Yarrowia lipolytica: one gene and its partners. The protein of the gene in region 3 interacts with the protein of the main gene of each other region in a pairwise test. Links are inferred from orthologs where the notes say so. Each region holds a gene or a part of one and is shown on either strand. Other genes may lie near its edges.

Region 1 (2,935 bases), on a different chromosome or scaffold from region 3:
TGATCTCGTGTAAAGTTCCATATCATCCTATCTCCCGTCTCTCATGTAAGCCACCAAGCCACACATTGCAATAGGCATTCTTTGGGCTTATTCATGGCAAATATCATCATACGCCACCAATGCTGTACATTTAATCGGATGAACAATTTGATAGAGAGTGTGGTCTTTCTTTGGTGTCTTCTGTGCATCATATTGATATGTGTGCAACCTGATGTGCATGCTTCAGACGGAAATGACGTCATTCTGTTCACACCCATTCCTGAGCTGTTAAATTTCGTCTTCCAATCCCCTGTTTTCGCCATACTACCCTCCTTTCTCCACAATATGAATCTCATACTCGTGGCTTATCCCCACTCTCCGACTTTAGCCACACTTGTCGGACTCCGAAGAAGCAGAAATATGGGACGATAATGATTGATTGTTTCGTAATGTGGCTAATCCAGCTGTTCTGAGCCGTTCAGAGCTCCCTCTGCTTACGACTATGAGCTTAGCACGACAAATAGAGCACTTTTTAGATGCGTCTCGCTGGTGTTGATTCTTCACCCATCATGGCTACCCCATGTATCAATAAATAACTATGCTATATACCACTAAATACTCAAGGCCAGCTTCTCCAAGGTCTTGATGTTTTTAGCAGCTCCGTCAGCGCTGTCTCCCTCAATCTGCATCTTGGCTCGTCCAGCATTTAGACCCTCCAGCAAGACACAGGCCTTGCAAACGGCATTATGAGATAAATAGCCACACTTGGTGCATCTGTTGGAGAGCCCAAGGCTGGAATCAAATGCTAGAGGTACCGAACAGCCACCGGAGGGGACAGGTTTTTCCTCCACCTTGGCCTTCACAACCACAGAGCCCTTGCCTTTCTTCTCCTTCTTCTTCTTGAGCACAAAGGCTTCTCCAGAGTGAATGATGTCAATGATGGTAGACGGTCTAATGGCCTCCAAATTTTTGATCAGCGTACGAGCCGTGCCCCGGAATGCCTCGGGAGAGTATGTGCACTCGGTGGAAAAGTAGTCGAGCTTCTTGTAATGGGCATAAAGCACAATCTCCTTTTCATATGCGTACTTAAGAGGCTTACTTCTCTTGACAGGAGAGTCATCTGAACCAGTCACCAGTTCGGTACATCTATCCAGACGAGCAGTATCGCCCCGTAACAAGTTCATCAGCACTGTCTCGGCCATATCGTCAGCATTATGACCTGTGACGATATGTGCGATTCCTAGCTTGGCACTACCTCTATCAAGAGCCTGTCTTCGAAACACTCCACAGTAGGTGCAGTTGTTCTTGTTGCCGATCTGGGCCACAATCTGGTCCATGCTCCACCCGTACAGCTCACTGTAACTGACCACCTCCAGATCCATGTCGTACTGCACCTTGTTTCGCTTCACCGTCTCCAGAGAGTCGTCTCGGTAGCCATGGATACCCTCGTCGATAGAGAGCAGCACAAAGTCCACACCATAGTTGTACCGCTCATTCAGCGTTTTCATCACGTGCGCAAGCACCGTACTGTCTTTGCCACCACTGGCTCCAATGGCCACCCGTTCTCCCGGAAAGAAGAGGTTTGATTCAACAATCGTGTTGTGGATTTCGGTCTCAAACACGTTGTAGAAGCACGGTTTGCAGATGGGTTGCAGCGTCTTGGGTCGCTTCAGCATGGCCTTGCGGCACTCGCACAGCACACACAGCATTTTTCCGATCTTCTTGTGTTGTAGAAGGAGAAACGGCTAATTACTCAGCATTTTTCAAAAAATCACCCAGGTTGCGTTTTATACGCATGTTAAATGCTTATTTAGTAAGTTTATTTATGGTGGTTGTGGGTTCGATCCGGAGCCGCGTCAAAATGTTTTAATTTTGATATAATTTTGATATAACGCGCTTCTCGCATATCTGAGGAGCTTTACTGGCTTGTATAACCAAATGGTATTGATTTCAGCCTCATTCGAATCTATATACATCTAAACACGTGTGATCGTACGGCGCTGTTCCTGTTTTTTTTTTTTTCTTTTGTTTTTTTTTTTGCGAATTTTATTTTTCCGTGGATCCACACTAAGGTTATTTTCGTGCAGGGTGGTATTGGTGACGGGTCCTGTTGAGCCGCTTAATTCCATCTATACCGTCAAACAAACGCCATCACTGCGTTCCTCTCGTTTCCAGCTCTTGATTCGTATCTCTAACGATCCGCATTATCGTCTGCATTCTTACAAACCGCTCCATATCGTGGCTTAAGCCACATGCACGCACACCAAAAAGAACATAAAAAGAAAGAAAAGAAGAAAAGAAAAAGAAGAAAAAAAACACCCTGGACGAGTAGATCTGTAATGACATGATGGTTGGGAGCTTTCCTCTTACTGCGTTCTGAACCCCACATCTACCACCATGGCGACCATTGCAATTGATAGCAACCCTTTTCAGTCTCTGAAGGCGCTTTCTGAACCCCACTTTGACACTGAGCGTCCTCGAATGGTCCAGTCTTCTCCCTACACGGGTCAGGCTCACCTGCTGGACCTCGGAGGGGTGCCCCAAAACCTCCATGAGATTGTGGTTGCCCTCCGGGACCTTTTCCGGGCCGTCAAGCCCGATTATGCTGTAGGTGACTACATCGAGTCGTTCCCGTTTGAAGACCTGACTCCCCTGGTGCCCGAAGGCGTCACTCTTCACTGCGTGGCTTTCCGATCCCGGCTGTTTGAACACGTGCGAACCTCCCACGATATGCGTCAGAAGCTCTCCGACCTCGACGAGTCTTCTCATGCCGAGGCTAACAACTCTGGAGGTCTGCTCAAGTACTGGTTTGGCGTGCCCGACGAGGCCGGAAACAATCTGGCCACCTGTGTGTGGATCAGCAAGAAGCACGCTGACGACGCCACCGCTCATCAGCGTCATAATGCCGCCGCCAAGACGGTCCGAGGCTGGTATGAGAACTGGCAAGTAGAGATCT
Region 2 (1,822 bases), on a different chromosome or scaffold from region 3:
CAGAAGGAGCTGGAGGAAGCTGTTATGGGCCATTGGCAGAACCAGAAGGAGCAGACCAAGTCAAACGGTGATGGTACTGCTGTTACTACTAATGGCTCCGTTTCTGCACCTACCGCTACACCTACCGCCACGCGCAGCGACCACGTGGTCCCCTTTGCCGTCGTGGGCGTGGTGTCCGATGGCTCGCCTGCTTCTTCGGTGGGACTCAAAATCAACGACAAAATCGTACGACTGGGAAACGTGGAGGCTACTACTCCTCGTATCCCTCAAGCCTTGCCTCTCGCGGTTGTTGAAGGAGTGAGTATTATATTATGACATGGATGGGTTGGCTATGTGACTCTGAACAGGTTGTTTGTTTGTTTGTTTGCTAACACAGAACCCCGTGGATGTGGTGGTTCTCCGAGAAGAAGAAACTCTCACCCTCACGCTGCTCCCAGCCAAGTGGGAAGGAAATGGGCTTATCGGGGCGGCATTGAGACTGCTGTAAGTCGGTTCTTCCGCGACCCATGCTTATCGGCTCATTTTGACCCAGCTCTCTTTCTCTCCCCCTCTTTTCCTCTAACCTCCATGAAGAGTTGAGGCAAAGATGATGACATCTCGGGGCTGCAAAATGTACTGGTCTTCGCCCTCCAGCTCCCAGTCCGAATCGTTGATGAGCACCAACACCCCGGGACGCACACTTTCGTCCTGCAAGAAGATGTTTTTGCCCTCTTCTCGCTTGTGATCCGGCATCAGAGTCTCCACCATATGGTGCAACAGCCAATTGACTGAGGAGCCCTCCGGCACGTCCAGCACGTGCTTTTTGTTGCCGTCGAAGGCGGTTTCGAGCCCTCCACTGGGTTAGTTGACGTCGCGGGTGTTTCCTGCGCCTCTTGCTACTCACCTGAATTCCACAGTAATTTGCATGGTGTGCGGTTGGTATAGGCAAGAAGATGATGCATGCTTTTATTAATATAGGCACTTGATCTTGATTCTGCCTACAAGTAGATTAGGGTTACGACGAGGGGCATCTTTCTGTTGCTTTTGTGGCTAAAAGAGAAGTAGTGGCGACATCTGAACTGCTCCTTGATATATAATATGACTGATTAATGCATCATTTCAAATTTCAGCGTCAAGGCTGCCTTATTGCGATTGTTTTCGTTACTTATTAATATTCAACAAAAAATTGATATATAGTTATTTTTGTACTTGACATTTATAAAGTGTACTTTGGAGACGTGAGTTCAAATCTCACCGAGGACACAACTTGAAAATTTTGAGACAATTTGAGGGAAAAGATAAAAAAATTACCAAAATCGTCAGAAACGGTCAGAAACTTGTGAACTACTCAACCAATGCTTCATAAAACACTTTTGGTACTTCGACTCAACATGTAATTATGTAATTATACTCACACGTAACTAGATCCACATTACAACAGTTTTTCCCCTCTCACCTCACGCCCCCAACCCCTCCCACAATTACTAAGCAGCTACTCACCATTACTAAGCAGTCACATCATTACTAAGCTACCGTACCATTACTAAGCAAAAAACCACCATTACTAAGCAGCCACATTAGGTTGAAGTTATGGGGAATGGCGTCAGAACAGCAGAGTAAAACGGAGAGGCCTGCCATAAAATGGACTGACTATGGGAAATGTGGGTGTCACGTGAACGCCTGGAGTGGCTACCCAGCGTATGTGGTTCTTGTCTTTTTCCGCGCGGATTTTCCCCGTCAATTCGAAATTCCACGGCGTTCCATCAGCATCCACCAGTCACTTCTTGAGTCAGAGTGCCGTATGTTGTCTGAGATAGTGTGTGTACTGTATGTAGAAGAAAGA
Region 3 (2,966 bases):
AATCGTTTCAGCCCCCGGATCTGTCGCCTCCAGTGACCATCAAATTCGACACTTCGCGGTTGCAGTTCACTCCGGCTAAAGATAGTGCACGACGGGTCGTTCAGGGAGCTCTTCGGGAAGCTGGGGGGGAGCTGGATAGCGATGATTCCATGGGAAGTTTCTAATCGCTAAGTCCAAAAACGGGGCTTAGAGTCTATGAAAGAATGGATATATTACGCAGTAAATGACTCGTATAGAAATATCCTTACAGTAATGGTTATATGTGATCTTCCTATGATCTGGGCAAGGGCCTGGGCTTTGTGCGGTATTACATCGAGAGACCCTTGTGAAGTTTAGCGGACACATGATATTCAATCTGAGCAGATGCGAGACGTGATTCTCTCTAATCCTGATCAAACATCATTTTCAACCATCCTGATCATCTCTCCACGTGGTAGATCATCCATCTACGTCCACCTACACCATGTACGCTTCATATGGTACACAGACATTCCACGTTAATAACAATATATACAGGTACTGGTCTACCAGAGGAAACCACTCTTCTTGTCCTTCCGTCGCTGCGCCAGCTGGGTTAGTTATATTCTCCGTTTCAAAAATTTCGCCACTTTGCTTTTTATTACTCACCCACATCTTCTTGCAGTCCCGGTAAATCTGAAAGTACTCCTCGCACATGGCCTTCTTGTAGTTGTTTCGCTCCAGGCAGTTGAGCGACATTTTGGAGGCCTCGGCACATGGATCGTAGTACTGTGAGTCGGCCTTGGCCAGAAACTGCACCCGGTTGGACATGGCAGTGGGGTCGTCGGGTCCGTACTTGAGTTTTCCGTCCCGACCCTCCTTGGTGAAGTCCACGCCGTACTTTTGACGCAGCTGTTCTTGGGTCATGGGAGTGCCATCCTCGTTCTTCATGAACTTGGGTTTGTTGTCTTCCGAATTGCTTTTGTCCGCCATTGTCTTGATATCGAGGGTATTGAGAGAGAATCCACTGTAGATAGCGGGCAAGGGTTGGTATGGAGGCAACAAACTCTGTTGTGCGTCTGGGATGCACAAGATGAAATTTCCCAATATGATTCCGAATCGTTGGATGAACCACACTTGAACCTCAAACCAACGTCAAAGTATTTATCATGTCCGCCGAGTCCACCTGCCGAAGATGCGACGGTCCAACGGCGATCAAAACGCGCCAGGCAAACTTTTGCCAGCCTTGTTTCATCACCTTTATTCAGCAGAAACAGAGAAAGGCCATGGAGGGATGCAAGGTGTTGTTTGCACGACCAGGCTGTGTACTTCCTCCAGCTATTAACATTCTGGTGCCAATCTCGTTTGGTCAGTCGTCACTGGCTTTGCTCGACATGGCGCACGCCCAGCTGGAAGAACAGGCCAAGACGTATGAAAACGCTGCAGGCTTCACTCTCAACGCCGTGTTCATCGACTGTTCTGAAGCTGATCCACTGGAAAAGGAGCCCAATCAGATCATCAGCGAGCTGGAGAAACGGTTCGCACATGCCAAATTTACCTGCATTCCGCTTTCAAAGGCTTTTGAGGGCGCTTCTTCTGTCACTCTTAAACACAACAGAGATTACACCTCGTTCGTGTCCGGTATATCCGAGGAACCCACCTCTGTGCAGCAGCTGCTTTCGTGTATCGGCACAAAATCTGCTCGAGAAGACATCATTTCTGTGCTCCAACGCCATCTCATCATTGAAGAAGCTAAGAAGCAAAATGAATCCCTTCCTACAACCGTAGCATGGGGACACAATGCTACCCGGTTGGCAGAACTAACTCTCAGTCTGACAATCAAGGGGCGAGGAAACCGAATTCACGCACAGGTGCTCGAACATAAGAACCCCAAGGACTCCATTTCTGGTCTCCCCGAAATCCATCCTCTTAACGATGTGCTTTCCTACGAGATTCCCTTTTACAACTCGTTCAGAAACGTGTCTGATCTCGCTGTCGACACCGTCTCAAAGCCCTCGCAGGTGACCAAGAACCTGTCGATAGATCAGCTCATGCACCAATACTTTGAAAATATCCAGACAAACTTCCCCTCTATTGCATCGACAGTCGTGAGAACCGCTGCCAAATTGGATGACCCTAATGCTGCCAAACAAGGACTCACTCCCTGCCTCATCTGTGCATCCCCAGTTGACCCTAACCAGTCGCTTGCATGGCTCACAAACATCACCGTCAATGAGCCTGCTGCCCCCGAAACAGAAGAAGAGGAGGAGCTAAGTAAAAAGGCGCATATGGAAAAATCCCAGGAAAAGACGGGTGATGCGGATAGACATCTGCCAGTACCCAACCTTTGTTACGGATGCATCATCACTATTAGAGACACTGACAGCTTCACTTTTCCTAAACGAGCTTCCAAACAGGATATTCTCGATGAGTTTACGCTCTAAGCCAGGAAGGGGCTTTCGTATCATAACTAATTTATTGTATATTGCACAAGACAGTAGAGGCTACCCGATTGGTGCAGTAATTACACATATTTCTGATACGTAGACGACTCTACAATACAGACGAGCCTTTGCTGTATTAGTTAATCGATGCCTGTAGCCTTACTAACAAGTTGAGTAGCTCTTCACAAGTATCGACAATAGAAATGTCCGCAGCATTGGTTGTGTTTGCTGAATATGGTGACTCGTTCCATCAGGTCCTCCAGCTAGATAATATACTCCCGCGCTCATTAGTTTGCTTGATCACAAGCTGTTCCATAATTATGTAATCCGTTATATAAATACAAGGACCTGCCTATACGCTACACACTGATCATAGCTAAAACAACTCCTTGAAATGCTCAATCATGAACAACGTTGAATCACTCTTGTGATGCACGTCGGCGATTTCCCGTTCGCCGGACGTGGCCCGTGCTAAAGTTGGGGCAAACACCATGGCCAGGTTCTTGTTGCTCATCAGATTGGTCTCGGCATGTTGAGTCACCCGGTTGAGATGTGTGCATAGTC

What was found.
Region 1: the proteins of YALI1_B13886g (region 3) and YALI1_D21565g interact in binary tests that used the Saccharomyces cerevisiae proteins (3 or more experiments, as listed by UniProt). The link is inferred for Yarrowia lipolytica from reciprocal best matches to the Saccharomyces cerevisiae genes NCS2 and NCS6.
Region 2: the proteins of YALI1_B13886g (region 3) and YALI1_E23313g interact in binary tests that used the Saccharomyces cerevisiae proteins (3 or more experiments, as listed by UniProt). The link is inferred for Yarrowia lipolytica from reciprocal best matches to the Saccharomyces cerevisiae genes NCS2 and URM1.

The regions. Positions count from the first base shown.
Region 1 is NC_090773.1:2,155,270-2,158,204, reverse strand, and holds YALI1_D21565g (uncharacterized protein), read right to left. Parts: upstream 1,689-2,935; coding exon 591-1,688; downstream 1-590. Other genes in the region: YALI1_D21553g (uncharacterized protein), read right to left, coding at 2,131-2,880. UniProt on the Saccharomyces cerevisiae protein: Plays a central role in 2-thiolation of mcm(5)S(2)U at tRNA wobble positions of tRNA(Lys), tRNA(Glu) and tRNA(Gln). Directly binds tRNAs and probably acts by catalyzing adenylation of tRNAs, an intermediate required for 2-thiolation.
Region 2 is NC_090774.1:2,330,440-2,332,261, forward strand, and holds YALI1_E23313g (uncharacterized protein), read right to left. Parts: upstream 907-1,822; coding exon 884-906; intron 836-883; coding exon 559-835; downstream 1-558. Other genes in the region: YALI1_E23302g (uncharacterized protein), read left to right, coding at 1-297, 377-487.
Region 3 is NC_090771.1:1,386,842-1,389,807, reverse strand, and holds YALI1_B13886g (uncharacterized protein), read left to right. Parts: upstream 1-1,127; coding exon 1,128-2,402; downstream 2,403-2,966. Other genes in the region: YALI1_B13915g (uncharacterized protein), read left to right, coding at 1-164; YALI1_B13888g (uncharacterized protein), read right to left, coding at 457-951; YALI1_B13828g (uncharacterized protein), read right to left, coding at 2,779-2,966. UniProt on the Saccharomyces cerevisiae protein: Plays a central role in 2-thiolation of mcm(5)S(2)U at tRNA wobble positions of tRNA(Lys), tRNA(Glu) and tRNA(Gln). May act by forming a heterodimer with NCS6 that ligates sulfur from thiocarboxylated URM1 onto the uridine of tRNAs at wobble position.